Caenorhabditis elegans: one gene and its partner. The gene in region 1 interacts genetically with each later gene. Each region holds a gene or a part of one and is shown on either strand. Other genes may lie near its edges. The genes, in order: lin-3 and cam-1.

What was found.
Region 2: of lin-3 (region 1) and cam-1, changing one suppresses a phenotype caused by changing the other (phenotypic suppression), as found in Caenorhabditis elegans (one study listed by BioGRID).

Annotation. Positions count from the first base shown.
Region 1 is NC_003282.8:11,055,532-11,059,465, reverse strand, and holds the start of lin-3 (Protein lin-3), read right to left. Parts: upstream 1,653-3,934; coding exon 1,598-1,652; intron 168-1,597; coding exon of another isoform or gene 125-167; intron 68-124; coding exon of another isoform or gene 62-67; coding exon 1-61.
Region 2 is NC_003280.10:9,308,395-9,312,328, reverse strand, and holds the start of cam-1 (Tyrosine-protein kinase receptor cam-1), read left to right. Parts: upstream 1-2,024; 5' UTR 2,025-2,027; coding exon 2,028-2,104; intron 2,105-3,934.

The DNA of each region.
Region 1 (3,934 bases):
GCAGATTGAAGCTGTTCGGGAGCACTACGTTCTTGACGAAACCACGAAGGGAGACACGATTCTGAAACTTTTATTGATATTTGAATGGAAAATAATAATCTTTGTTTTGATATTATAGACATACCAAATGCGACTAGAAGTCGTTCAGGAATCGATTTACCGAACATTTAAATTTTTCGTATTCAAGAAAATATGTATAATTTTCTTAATATTACTTTTCCAAAAATGCCTGAGACATTGGTAAGAACACCTGTGTGTACAGTTTTCAGGGTCACAAGAAAAAACCAGCATAAAATACACAGGTGCATTGAATAGGGAGAGACGGGAAGTTCTAGAATTTTGAAAGTACAGAAGCTCAAGGATCCACGGAAAGAAACTTGAAGAATAAAAAAAGTACGATTTTATTTCTTTGTTTCTAGACTACTGTAGATTGGTTGTTAGTCTTTTTTTGAATTTGTATTGTGATTATTGTTCTCGACATCTACATTTTTTTGTCAATTTATCAAATTGCCTGATTTCTTTAAAAATCTACAATAATTAATGACAAACCATTCAAGGGACCATTTAAATTCGAATATGTAATAACTGGTATGTACATAGTTGGTGGTAAACTCGTAGATTGCTGCCAATATAGGTGAAATAAATACCGATGGTAGTATTGTCAAGGGTGTTTATGAGGGGGTGCATACAACATTTTGGCGGTGTTGGCGGGTACTTGAATATTTACGATCACCTACTGTGCATTGCTGTATGACCTCTTCAATTTGCAACCGGGTAAACGGAAATTATCACAAAATACGGCTATTCGCCAGACGCAAAATTTTGCAATTTTCGCCCCAAAAATACGGTCCGTGGTCTCGACACGACAATATTTATTTAATGTAAATAGATGAGCGCCTTTGAAGAGTACTGTAATTACAAAATTTCGTTGCTGCGGAAATTTAATCAATTTTTTAAAGTTTTTCTTACGATTTGTTAAAATTGGTGTGCTTTTATAGTTGTTTTTGAATAAACAGACAATTTTTTATCGGAAACCAGTTTTAAAAATTCGGCAAAAACGGGAGTTTGAAATTACAGTACTCTTTAAAGGCGCACATGCATTTAATAAAAACTTTTCGTGTCGAGACCCAGTACCGTATTTTTAGAGCAAAAATCGAGAAAATGCCTGAACAGGGCTGTAGATTTTTCGTGTATTTGGTGGAAAATTTATTTTTCGATTTTTTGGAAAAAAAATTAAGCGAAAAATGCTGATATACTGAAAAATTATAAATGTTTAAATTTTACAACTTTCCAAAGAATCACACTGGAAATTGTGAACATAAATAGTGCGATTTCGGTCAAAATATCGTTTCAAACTAAATTTTTCATTTTCGTTTTCGAAAAAAAATTCCCTGCTCCTGAACCAATCTTTTCTCATAGTCGTTTGTGGCGATTTTTATTCCATATGACAATGTTTAGTGCACTAGACAAAAAATGTGTAGAACACGAACACACATGTGGTTGTAGTGTCAAATATCATTCGATCCGTTCAATATGTTTTAAGAGGTGTGACGTTCAATTCCAAGTAGAACATCATTTTTTTTAAATGAAAAATTACCTGTAAATTGAGGCATAAAGAGTAGAAGGATGCAAAAAAGTAGCATTTTCCGCATTTTGGAAACTTGTGGGCGACGATATCTGAAATAATTTTTTTTTTTGGATAATTGTTGAGAAATTTAATTGAAATACCTTATGAAACAGGAAAAATTGATGCATAAGGGGTGGGAAGAACACCGACAAGCCGACGATCCGTTATTCTGAAAATTAAAATTTAAAAAAATTGGGAATTTTTTAAATTTTTAAAGAGAAACATAAGGAAATATTGTGCAAAGAATGCGAAATTTTTTTACGGTACCCGGTCTCGAACCGGCCGATTTTCTTGAATTCCAAAGAGCGTGTACCTTTAAGGAGTACTGTAGTTACCAACTCCTTATTGTTGAATTTCTTCAAAAAAAATTGATGGTTTTAATGAAAGAAACAGGTAAAAATTGTGAAAAATCTGATAAAAATATCCCAACAATACAGGGTTGGTAACTACAGTACTCCTTAAAGGTGCACGCTCTTTGGAATTCAAGAAAATTGATTCCGGCTACCGTAATTCTTTCTTTCAAAAAATATCCCAAAAATATATAAATTTATAAAACTCAGAGACTCTGATGGCCATGATGATTCACATGAACTTTCTGGCTACCGCACTAACTGTATTTCTTAACTGATATTAATATCACAGTTTTATACAAGGAATGTTAGCTGAGAGCAAAAAATAACAAAGAAACATCAGAGAAAACAGAGAAAATCGTACAGTCTAGTAGTAGATCAGCTAACTGTTAGAGAAAGATCGGGAGAAGTGGGAAGCTAACTGTTGATCGGAAGAGTAATTATTGCGAAACAAAAAAGTTATGAAAAGAAATCGAAAAGAGGTTAGCTTTGACCCTGGGAAAATCAGTGGCTTCTTGGTGGTACTTTTCAGTGGCATGAGTCAGTCAACGATGGGCGGTTCGAGAAGAGAGCAAATAGAGAAGATGCGCAGTGATCTATTTTGATGGTGAAAAAATAACTACAACATATTTTAAATTTAATCTTTTCTATTATTATGGGGATTCAGAAAGACAGTCATTTTAGAATCGACGTTGAAACGCTCCGCCCACAACCCATGGGTCTCGCTAGGTATTTGGTGGAAAATCCGTAAATTCAAGCGTTTTCAATTAGTTTTGCCAATTTTTGTTATTTTTTATGTTGTTTTTGATTATTTATAAGCCGAAATAATTTTTTGAAAATTCGTGTAATGTTGAAAAGTGAATAAGTTTTAAAAAAATTTGTTTATGAACTTTATTTCATTAATTTCCAAATGAAAATCAATACAAAGAAAGTAAAATAAATTTTTAAAAATTGACAAAATCGGTAAAAGTAATTTAAAAACTCTGAATTTACGGGTTTTCCGCTAAATACCTAACGAGACCCATGATTCGTGGGCGGTGCTAATTGGCCGTGGGGAACGATTCCACGTATATTTTAAAATTGGGAATTTTGTTTGTTCCTATAATATTTTCGGAATCTTCCAGGTTACTGTAACACTGAACAAACAAGAAAATGTCGAACATGGATCTGATGGAAGTATGGATACGGATGAGTTGAGATAAATTATAAAATATGTTAATCAATGTCCACTTTGCAAACAATTCCTCAATTTCGAGAGATAAATGTTCTTGTGTTAGCAACAATTTTCAGAATCTAGGGAATTCCAATATAAAAAAACAACTCGATGAGCAATCACTGTTTGCATTTTGCCTATTTATCAGGAATGAAAACGAGACTATTTGGGAAAACTGGAGGAAACATTAAAGTGTATCAGAAATACGGCGTATTCCTTTTTCACATGAAATCGGATCTTTTCAACTTTGACACTACTTCTGGTTCTTCCTATTCCAGTTTTCAGAAGATTCTAAGACTTTATGAGTCAGCCAGTCAGCAAGTTTGTAGAGAAGCGAGGAGACAAATAGAAACAGTAAGAGCACATTGGCTCAGAAATTGGAAACAATAGGAGAAACAGGAGGAAATGGTAGCGGGAAAAAGAGAAGCACTGCGCAATTGAGAAGGTCGGAAAAAAGAAGGAAGAACAAACAAATAGTCGGGAGAGGAAGTAAGGTGAAAAAGAAGATCGACCTTCGTGAAATACGTGGGATATCAGAGGATATGTCTAAGATTCAGAACTGTAAAGATCTATAATTCGAGAAAATGAGGGTTTCTCATTTGATTATTTACAGTTGAGTTTCTGGGTTTTTGTTTGATTATCACCTTTATTGCATAATTGGTCGCTAATCTTTTGATTTGTCGCTTTTTTTTTGCAATTTTTGGGCACGTTCACGAAATTTAAAATTTTAGCAACATTTAGTTT
Region 2 (3,934 bases), on another chromosome or scaffold:
ACGGTGAAGACAACTCAAAACCCGATCTGCCCGTATTTTGATTATTAGGACTTTCACATCTAATAGACTCCTATCAAAACTTTCTTTTGATAACTGTACCATACTATAAATTTTTAGATTGTATTGAAAATTTGACACACATAGATTTTTATTTAGCATAGAAGCTTCTGAGTGATTGAAATGCGACTAAACTTTAGTTTTTTGGGAATATTTTTAGTACTACAACATTTCCAGCATGCCTATTCAAAAACAATTCCCACCAACAGAATTCCGTACCAACTCAACTCAATTTCCAATTTTCTTCTCCTACGGCTACTTGTTGTCCATTTTGATTATAATCGTCTATTTCTCTCATAGCTCCTTGTGCTCAACGCCTAATCCTCTTCTCTGCTTCCAACAGCAGCATAAACAAATTTTCACACTCAAGGACCCGCTTCTTGAAATTTCTCTCTTCTACATTCGGTGAACACAATTCTGAAGCAGCACGAGCAGGAGCATGCACTTACTTTCAAATTCTATAATAATCATTTTGCGTTTCTCTTTTTATCCGATTTACGCTCTCAGGGATGAATGCTCCAGTGTATCTAGGATTTTGAGAAACATATACAAAATTAGCTCATGCTGAAGGTTTCGAAATATCTACTGCAGATCACACATGTTTTAGGAACATACATTTTGGCCAATTTGTTTATATCTACCGTATCATTTCTAATAAAATTATTGTAATCATTTACACGTTCTGAAAGTTTTTTAATCGACCTGAAAATATTTGTTCACATAGTCGAAAGGTTTGGAAACCTGCCCATGAATTTACGAACGTTCATTGGACTTTCTGGACATGTGACAATTTTTCAATAATTTAATTAGAAGATCCATGATCTCATATTTTGTGCAATATATAAATGTTTTCTCTGAAATTTAGCTGTTCTTCTTCGAATGGGACTCTCCCAGAATTCCCGTTTGAAATTCCATTCAGAACATCAACAGGAAGCATATCATTTGGTTTTCTCACGTTATTTCCGGAGTTTGTTTTGGACCTTGATTTTCAAGTATAAATTGGGATTTGGTTTCTAGTATTAAAATGACAAAGTGAAATATTAGAAAAAATATTTGGAAATAAAATCATGCAATTAAACATTTTAAGAACACCATTTTAAAAATTTTACAGTTGAGTTTTTTGATGGGTGAAACACCTAAATTTTTGACAAACTTTCGTCATAATTCCACTTTCTTACTTTTAAAATAAGTGACAATCTAGTGTATATCCAGCTGTGTCAGGAAACTCAATTATTTTCCAAATTGCTTTATAAGCCTTATTAGACAGGTGTGAAAACCCGTGTATTACTAAAATTGCATGAAAGAATGCTCATCTTTTCTTCTCTAAATCTCTTTTTCATTCAATTTTCTTCCATTTTTCATCACCAACTCTTTCTTCTAACTCATTGCTTCACAACTCTTCGTGCTCCTGCTCATTTCTCAGTCATCCATCACATTTATTTTACATGCAAAATGAGTGGAAAAGCGCATCAAAATGTGTACTACTAATATGAAAATGACTTTTTTCCCGTCTCTTTTTGTACTTCATCCTCAATTCATTTCGATTTGAGAAAAAAAGTTTCATTGGTGGTCCTGAAAGTTGTCATCTAATGAAAAAGACCTGCGTCTCTTCTGGAAATGAATTCAGAATTAGAAGAGAGAAAAGTTGTCGAATTCATGACTTAAGAAAACTGAAATTCTATACTTTTTCTTAAATTTCCTCTCAAATTCTCATGATAAATTCTGCGATTTCTGAAATCTCACCTGCCATTTCTCAACTTTTTTTTTAGCCGGCTTAAGCTTTATACTTCAATTCAACTTTTGCTTCACTGAACTTTATGAATTTCTGTTTTTTTAAAGTAATATTTGAATTACCTTTTTTTATGTTACTGGTGCTGAAATTCTCGATTCGAATAAATTTTTGAACTCTGTATATTACCATCTCGTTCCATTTTTTAATTTTTATACCCTAAATCTTGAATATTCCAGAAATGTCTCCCCGACCAGAAGACGACGATCTCGTGATAGAACCAGCCGACGATGAGGGTCTTCACTACGGAAATGCATCGTGAGTATTACTGTCTTTTGATACGATAATTATAGTAATTAGATACGGGTGGTAGAAACTGTAGCTGCCTATTTTGGCAACAAACGGTTCGGTTATTTACTATCAGATTAAATGAATATGGGTCAAATACAAGTAGTTTATTAGATTGCCTCAAAAACACAAAATGCTTAAATCTAGTGAGTCTATAGATGTACAGTTTGCTGACTACAAAAATTTTTAACGACCTCTAAAATGCGCGTCCACCTCTTGGCGTATAAAATATAAACTTTAAAAGCATTTAATCAGTTCATATAGATTTTCATATATGTTCATATAGATCAGTTCATATAGATTTTCAAAAAATGTATTTAAAATAAACCCAATTACTTCTTGATTTCTGAATAAAACCATATGGTTACCGCCATCCGTTCCCACATTCATCAAGCTCGCCCGATGAGTATTATGCAGTATGTGATCTTCACCGTTAGAATCTTGATTATAAAAATAATGTTCAATGGGAAATTTTTCTGCAATTCTCCCTCCACCCAACTTATTATCTTCATTCAAAATCTTGAAAACTTCCGTCGTGTCGACTTCCCATTTTTCATCTTTTTGACAAGTTTGCAACTTGCGATTAGTTTTAGCGCAATTTTTATTAGATTTTGAGTTAAATTAATTGCTAAAGGGGTCAACTTCGAAAGTGATTTATTTCAAATTTTTGTGAATTTTAAGTAGCTAATACTTTGTCAATATCAAAAATCAAATCGTTATGAAAATAATTTTTGGCTCGATTTTTGCCTAAGTTATTTTAACTTGTTAAAAAAATTGACAAACTTTATATAGTGCTTTTAGGCAAAACGTGGGCAGAAGCTGAAACTCGCTCAATTTTTTCCATTTTTCGAGCAATACTTGGATATGGTCTCAGTCAAGTGTTACAAATTTTTTCGCCAGTTTTGTATTTTTAAGAGAAAAGTTGTGTAATATTTTGGTGCCAAATGCCGATATCTCACATTTTTGATGAATTTTGGTAATTAGATATAACATCACGATCCAAAATTTTCCGTTAGCACCCATTCTTTTGGAAATTTCAATTATTATTTTTTCATCCATATTTTGTACCACTATAGAGCATCAAAATGTCATTCCGGATGCGGAAATTGGGTTAACTGACACAAGCTCATTTCCCTCAAACAAACGGAGTGACATGCCCATATAATGGATGACCATTCTCCCACCTCTTCTGTTCTACATATTGCATAATCCACTTGACACCTATATACATCCACCAACACCCGGACGTCTTCCTCCTCTTTCACCCATACAACGGACCACCCCCACCCTAACCGTGACCATCTCCTCTCTCTCTCTCTTTCCCTAATATCTGACAAAACGGACTGACCTCTGCCTTCTTTCCTACTGTCAGTCATCCCCTGTGTCTCTGCGTCTCATTGAATCAGTATACTATTTCTCGGGGATTCTGTCGAATGGGCCCTCCCCGCCAAACGCGCTCCGCACATTCATCCGACGGATGGACTACTCGATTTATAATTTATTGGCCTTGTAATGATGACACATCGTAAAAAAGAAGTTAATTTATCACTATTTATTAGTTTCTTTTTCTAATTAATTTATAACTTTCGAATCATTTTTGAACGGTTTTTAGTGATTAGAAAACAGTTTGATTCCAATATTAAGGTCTTATTACTAATCTATAATAGGCATTTTAATACTAGCTTGATTTAGTCTGCTTAATCCTAAATATCGTTCAGTCAATCCGCACTTCTCCTCCCCGGAAATGAAATATTCCTAAACTTGAATTAGCTGAATTTATCTTGAATTTTTATTTTGGTT